2 linked regions of the Schizosaccharomyces pombe genome follow. The protein of the gene in region 2 purifies or fractionates together with the protein of the main gene of each other region. This does not show direct contact. Each region holds a gene or a part of one and is shown on either strand. Other genes may lie near its edges.

Region 1 (3,570 bases), 3.2 Mb from region 2:
AACAATAAATACTTTAAATTCTCGATCATTCTTATTATTTTATTTTTTATATGTTTATTTTTATTTTTATTTTTTTATTTTTTTTCTATGAAGGATATGAGTACCTCGAATTATTAAAAGTTAAACTTCCCATTTCACAGCATTTTATTAAATCAATTGAGATTTATAAATTTGAATCTTTTAAGGAATTATACTCAAATTTTCATGGTCATTCTGTAGAGATGTCTTTAAACAGGAAGTGCAAAAATTTAAAATTATGAGAATAAACTATAAAATCTTTAAAAACAAAAGACGTCTAAATTTATGATTATTAAAGACAAAAAAATGCTCAATTTGAATTTATTTTTTTATTTTTTTTTGTGTTACATCAATAACAACAAATATTGTTTATTCGATTAAAATATCCGTTCAGACTAAAATCAATAAATTCGGCTACGGTCATTGTATCAGATGTTGAGGTTCTGGATTTTTATACATTGAATAAATCATTTAGAAAAGAATTAATATCGAAATATATACAGGCAATGAAATCCTGCTTGAATAATATATTGTTATTTACTTTTTCAGTTTTCCTTCTTCATTTGAGTGTTCAACTAGAAAAATTATCAGATCAAAATTGGCATATACAAAAAATACAAAAGCAGATTATGCTACACAACAAAAATGCAATTCATAATAAACGTGCAAAAAAACCTTTTAATGAACTGCACTTATCAAAAATGCTTTTGTTTAGCAAATTTTTCAAAGCTATGTCATTTTGCTCAATTATTTGGAGACTTTAAACCGTGACAGTGTTTGTAAATCTGCTCAATAATTAATTTTCCATAAATCAAAATGAAAACAATATTTTCATATCATGAATAATAATATCACTAACTCAACCTCATAGAGGAAAGTGAAAAACACGATTTTCTGTTTACATTCAGCAAAAAATTGCGCTGTAATAACCATTTCCAAATACTGCATTTACAAATATTTTTTGTTAAATCCTTTTGCGATTTAAACATCGAGTACGATATATAAGTTGAATGTCGACAACGTTCCGTTGCGCTATAGCATACTACGTTGTGTATCACTAATTATCACATGTTTGATTTGCTCTGTCAAGCTGTACATGATAAGTTACTTAGGTAGATTACTAAGAGTTATAAAATGAATAACAAAAAAAATAATAGAATGCTTAAATTTTATGAATTGAAATAAACAAAACCTCGTTTCTCTATTCACTTTTATGCTAATTCGGTGATAGGTAACAATATAACCTCTATATCAGAATATCATTCTAAGTTACTAAATGTATTTACCTGTGTACCATAATACAATAGGTCACAAGTAAACCACACGGCAGTTCTAGGTGTCGTTAAATAGATACCAATAAATGCGTAGCTGACATTGAAAAAGTTCCTTCATCCGCCGTTTAGTGGTTTTAGTGCGGTTTATAGCAAGTACGTTACTGGTTTGTTAGAGCATATACGATAATGTAATAAACTCTCATTGTTTGTTGACATCACTGTTGATGGTAGGACTTGCAACATTAGGAAGCGACAACGGTAGTCCTCATTTCTCCAAGGCACTTTAACGTAACTAGAGCAAAACACTAACCGCCAAAAATAAAGGTTAAAAAAAGGAATAGAAGGACTTTAGAGTTACTGATTTTTACCAGAAAATGGTATGTTTATTATATTGTTTGGACATATTCCGATTTTTCCTTTGAAGATTGACTAACAATCGTATGAACGGATGACACTCAGAAAATGATTTCTGAAGTCGTCTACCGTATCGTACATTATTACAGACTACCCGTAACCTTACAGATGAGCAGATTGCAGAATTCCGTGAAGCCTTTTCACTGTTTGATCGTGATCAGGATGGAAATATCACGTCCAATGAATTGGGTGTAGTTATGAGATCGTTAGGTCAATCGCCTACTGCCGCCGAATTACAAGATATGATTAATGAGGTCGATGCCGATGGTAATGGCACAATTGATTTTACCGAATTTTTGACTATGATGGCCCGAAAAATGAAGGATACCGACAACGAAGAGGAAGTTCGCGAAGCCTTTAAAGTCTTCGATAAAGATGGAAATGGATACATTACAGTCGAGGAGTTGACTCATGTGCTTACAAGTCTTGGTGAACGTTTGTCTCAAGAAGAAGTAGCCGATATGATACGTGAAGCCGACACCGATGGCGATGGTGTAATCAACTACGAAGAATTCTCTCGTGTCATTTCTTCCAAGTAGAAGGGTTGGAATTTCTGTGGAATATTTGTAAGCCTTAAAAAAATCAAAATATCCTTGCTGGGGTTTCCACCCTTTTAGTTCTTCTTTATAACCACTCTCCATCGCAATTTGGACAATCTCTTTACCAACTTAACCTCGGCTATTGTCCTTTACTTTTTTTTTCGTCTATGATTTTGAAAAACATTAGTTAGTGTATTACAACGTTTTGGTTGTTTATTTTGCTGGCCTAGGTGTGTCACAAAAGTAACTATGGTAGCATTTGTTGTTACCATTCATCTCATGATCGATCCTATGAATTTTAACGCTTCCTTTGTTTCAACACATAAAGGAATCCTTAAGTCTGGGAACATATACGTTATTGCTATGAGAATACCACGCACTTTTGCATTATTGCATCCTACAATGAATTATTAGAAGCTTCATCTGTCTGTTATATGATGCATTTGCTCGTACTAGTATGTGCCTAGTACTCGCTGTATACGTTGCATTTATGTCCTTGCAATTCCCATGCCCATTATTTAGCTCAATCTTCCTTTTCTTTTTTCCTTCAAGATTTACTGTTCATTATACTAGTCGATGTTAAAATTTTTAGCATTTTTCTAGTTATATGCACTTCTTGAAGCCGTTTTCTCACTCTGGTAGATATACGCTTTGTTTTGTACTTAATACATTACTTTATACAAATACATCTCTCAGTATGAAATTTTGTGCGGCACTTGTCGAAGCTAAGCTATACGTATTAACTAAACATAAATTCATAAATGACATCGTTTATTTTCTTTTTGCATTTCACGTAGTTATTCCGATCGTAAACAGAAATTCATCATTGGAATATGGACATTTCCTAAGAAGGAAGGCTCTGCGCCGGTAAAGTTCAAGTTAGTGAAGTTAAAACTTATCTAAAATTCAACATCATGGTACATATATATTCAAAAAGTTTTTACAAAGTTATCAGTTCTAAACCTCAATGTCCTCCTACTTGCTATTCAAGCCAACCTAACTTCCTCTCACCATCAACCACCCGCTATATGGTTTCGTATATCCCTTCGCCGTCGAAAACTTGTACCTAACTATACGAAATTTTCTTCTTTAAAATTGCCAAAAAAAAAGCTTCGAGTTCTATACTGCGCTGTATTACATAACACTTTGGAATCAAGGGTTAGCAATTACCATAACTAAATTAATTATAGCTCTATGTCGAATGGAAATGATAATTCTCTAATTATCAAAAATATTGGGAATAATGAATTTAAATTTGTAGAAACGCTTCACGAATTATTACCAGAAGATATCACTTATGATGATTTGGGTTCATTACGACTAAG
Region 2 (3,967 bases):
CGTGACAACTTTATTAAAGTTACCTTTTATCTTATAATGTTTTTTACTTTACTTTACTGGTAAGTTTTCGCTATTCTTTGGAGCAAATGCTCTTGTTGTTTTAGCGGCACTATTTTTTATAATGTACTAACGGATAATAGTATGGTCATGTCCTTAATTCAAGAAGAATAATGTTAAAAATCTTGGAGAGGAAATTCTAAAGCCAATGCAAAAAAAAAGGATACTGTTTTCTTTCTTAATAGTTACATGATTGAATGACATTAATTATTAGACATTAGGTAATGAACTTTCGACTACTTCGTTGCAAACAGCTGATAATGAGGGAAAAGCTCATTTAGTCAAGCTTATTAGAAATTTTCTCAAGTAATCATTGGACTGTAAAAGTATTTGGAAATTTCATACTTTGAACTATTCGCCCAACGTATTCCTTGATTTCTAAATAATATATGAAGATAATATTTCTCTTATTTCTTCAAGTTCATCTTGATCAACAAATGAAACAAAGCGACGATTCAAAGATTTTGTAAGACCTTGAATGTGTGAATTAATTTGACCGTCATTCGTAGCTTCCACAAAAACAGTATCCAATGTGCGCAACCCTTCTGGAACTGTCTCTAAGCTCGGCAATCCTAAATTTTGTATGTTTACTATTTTCGATATGCTACTTGCGTTATAATTTTTTCCTTCTAGTAATCCTTGATTATCTTTGGGGCTGCGTACGACTCCAAATAAACAATTGTTTTGCTGACTGTAATCTTGAGCAACATTAACAAAGGAGGCACTACTCACTAGTGCCCATTCTTTAGACGAGTAATTTTTTGCTTTAAAGTTCAAATTATGGATAAAACCTCTTCCTTCTGATTGTAGCTTTGATTCGATATCTTTCATTCTGTAGCAGGAAGACCCGTAAACCCTTGTGGGCAATGTAAAGGACTCAATAGCCAAATTAATTTTTGCGGAGGAAGCCCAAAGGTCATCACCTTGTGATATTGTACACAAAGGGAAGTACTGAGAACAAGATCCGTTGAGCTGAGATAACGAAAGTGCTTCATTTAGTTTTCCGAAATGATTATCAATAGTTGCGGATGAATCTGACTGAATCGGCTCTCGAATCCCATAGACCCAAGTGGGAACACGACATTCTCCTAGCTCATCTTGAACTACTTTCATGTATTCGCTCGCAAATCCACCCCACGGAGTGTCTATGTCTATTGCTGCTTGAAACCCTTGGACGCTATCACATTCTTCAACAAGCGGCCTCAATCCTTCATCCCATACATTGAATTGCTTATCAAAATCATGAAACCTTTCTACACCGAGTTGAAATGAAAAGTCCGATGAATTCAGTTCCGAACAGTTTACTGGAAATAAATACTCAGTATCTAAAAATAACCGATTGAAATCTGACCAATATTTAACGCTTTTTGGACGAATAGAAGGAAGTTCATATTCTGATTCTATTGCGTTTCCCTCATGGATCTCATCTCGACTCCAAAGTGCTTCTTGGTACGGATGCACATCGACTGGAGTCTGCATAATCTGCGTGAGTTTACCATCCCATGCTGTACCTTTTCCTCCTGATGACTCATTTAACTCCTCTAACCAGTTTTTTCTAGTATTTCCAAACTCAATTGGAGTATCATATATGCACTCACGAGGAACCGTAACAATAGCTTCTGGATCACGCTTTTTCAGTACACGGAAATTGGTGTTTACATTAACCTTTGCATGATCGTTCGGATCGTATACAAAATAAGACTCTTGAGTGTTCCAAAAATGCGTCCAACAGAAGTTGCTCTTTCTTCCAAATGTAACTGTTAATATTTCATGCATCGAATATGCAAATGCCTAATAGATTGTTAAATGTATTTTGTAAAAAATGTATATACATGTATTTTCTAAATATCTAAACAATACTTGAGATAGATTTCGTAACCATAACCCTAGTTATTAGAAAATTGGTGTGAGTTAGTTATACCGTTACTAGCTTCTGTCTACCTAACCAACGCCAGTGAGAAACTGCTGCTGGGGAATGTCAAACTAACGTAAGAGTGAAGTTTCAGTACATGCTACTGTTATTTCTAAGCATCCTTTTTTAATTTTGCAATTCAAAGCTTTGTTTTCTGTGTAGAAGCATAGCATAAAGACTGAACCTGTAGAAATTAGTTACCGCGTAATGCGTTCTTAGATGCTTCATTTTTTATTTCATTCAGGATCTTCATCAAATAGAAACTCATCGCCGAAAGAATCCTATGAGCTTCTTCATGGTTTGGACAAACAATATCAAAGTACTAAGGATGTAACGTTTCGTCTTGTCCTCGTTCAAGACATCGGAGACCGAAAAAAAACTGTTTTGTTTGACTCTAATCATGTGGATGGTCAGAAAGGAGATAGTGTGCTTAGGGACTCGGCAAATGCTCCACTTACTGATCTGATGTTTGGAGCAATTCCTATCTCCCATAAAGGAACTACCACAAAGTTGCATATTCTTCATCCCCCTAATCCTGCCACAAGGTCTTATATGCTTACTCAATTATTTCAAATCAACACACATGGTACAGTAGTCAATTCTAGTCACGAAACGATTGCATCTGCTACTTCATTATTTGAAAATAGTAGTTCGAACTTTTCTGAAGACCCTAATAAACCCAACTCAAGCGATGCCTTTGAATCGAATAAAGAAGACAGTCCATTATTAAAGTCTTTTAATGATAGCGCTATCCCTGAGAATGCAGCAAATTTATCTTCTTCTTCTAAAAACATGAAAGATTCTACTTTAAGCAGTCAAAAAGCTCGTTCGAATACAAGTTCTTCCTTTTTAACACCTTTGCATGAGCAACTGGAAAGTCGCTGTGCCTTACATACAGCTGCTAAGGATCCTTTTCGATCTAAAAATTCGCTCCGGTGTAACAGGGGGCATTCCCCTCTTTCCTCCCAACAAATTTTGCCTGCAATTTCAAACAATACCTCAGAAAAGCCTGATTCCAATAATTGTGGTTTTCTTCTTCCTTCAAACTCAACATCAATAAAGGATTTAAAAAACGTAAAGAAAGGAAACAGGTTAAATAGTCCTCCGTTTATTACTATTCCTCAATCCATCAAAAACACGAATTCTAATTTTCTGCTTTCTTCACCTTCACTTTTTAGCGATACTCGCACTCGTCCAGCTTCGTATGCTTTAGCTCTTATCATTACTGTACCTTATGAATATGACGAAATTGTTCATCCTGTCAGTACTTATTATACTATGCTATCAAATTTTACGCTTTCTTTGCAGAAAGAAATAGATGAACGAATTCGCAATCTTTTGTTTGTTTCACTTAGCAGTGGGGGGGATAACAAAAATGATACAGGAATTCCATTAATTCAGTCTTCATCCTCAAAAGTAGGTTTCGGACCATATGCTCTTAGCAAAGATTTGATTACAGCTAAGAGTTTCCACAAATGCATATTGTTACTGAAAACTGGGTTTTCGGCACCATTGATTAAGCCTTCAGTATTTAGTGGCAGCAAATGGGTGGAAAACATGCGATTGTTAACCGACTTGTGTAAATCTCCAGCCCAGAAGTGCTTGTTTAGCAATTTACTAACAGCTACTCGAAAATTCTGTTTGGAACGCCAAAAAGATGATGTTACTTTTAAAGTGTTATTACAGTCTAGCAAAGCACCAATAGCTCGACGTTTTTTATATCTACTAGCTCCATTAATGCGACCGTCAATTGCGCAATGTTCCGATACGCTTCTTAATCCTATTCAATTATATCCCAACTCTGGAATACTCTCATCATCTAGTCTTTCTACTTCATTTGGTTGTCCTTCTGTCTCTGGCTCTTTACGAGTACCTTCCTATGATATGAAGATAAATGATTCTTGCAAAGCTATAGATATTCATTCAGAGAAACCATCGTTTGCTGATTCTCCTAGGAAAACGTCATTACGAAATTATTTGAGTAGCAGCTGGCGATTA

What was found. Proteins that work in one complex are often made in the same cells at the same time.
Region 1: the proteins of fnp1 (region 2) and cam1 purify together in Schizosaccharomyces pombe (co-purification; one study listed by BioGRID). This does not show direct contact.

What each region holds. Positions count from the first base shown.
Region 1 is NC_003424.3:1,443,264-1,446,833, forward strand, and holds cam1 (calmodulin Cam1), read left to right. Parts: upstream 1-1,586; 5' UTR 1,587-1,666; coding exon 1,667-1,669; intron 1,670-1,795; coding exon 1,796-2,245; 3' UTR 2,246-3,070; downstream 3,071-3,570. Other genes in the region: GARP complex subunit Vps53, read left to right, coding at 3,440-3,570. UniProt on the Schizosaccharomyces pombe protein: Calmodulin mediates the control of a large number of enzymes, ion channels and other proteins by Ca(2+). Among the enzymes to be stimulated by the calmodulin-Ca(2+) complex are a number of protein kinases and phosphatases.
Region 2 is NC_003424.3:4,640,307-4,644,273, forward strand, and holds the start of fnp1 (folliculin complex subunit fnp1), read left to right. Parts: upstream 1-2,000; 5' UTR 2,001-2,188; coding exon 2,189-3,967. Other genes in the region: cornichon family protein Erv14, read left to right, coding at 1-59, 141-171; GTPase dml1, read right to left, coding at 436-1,833.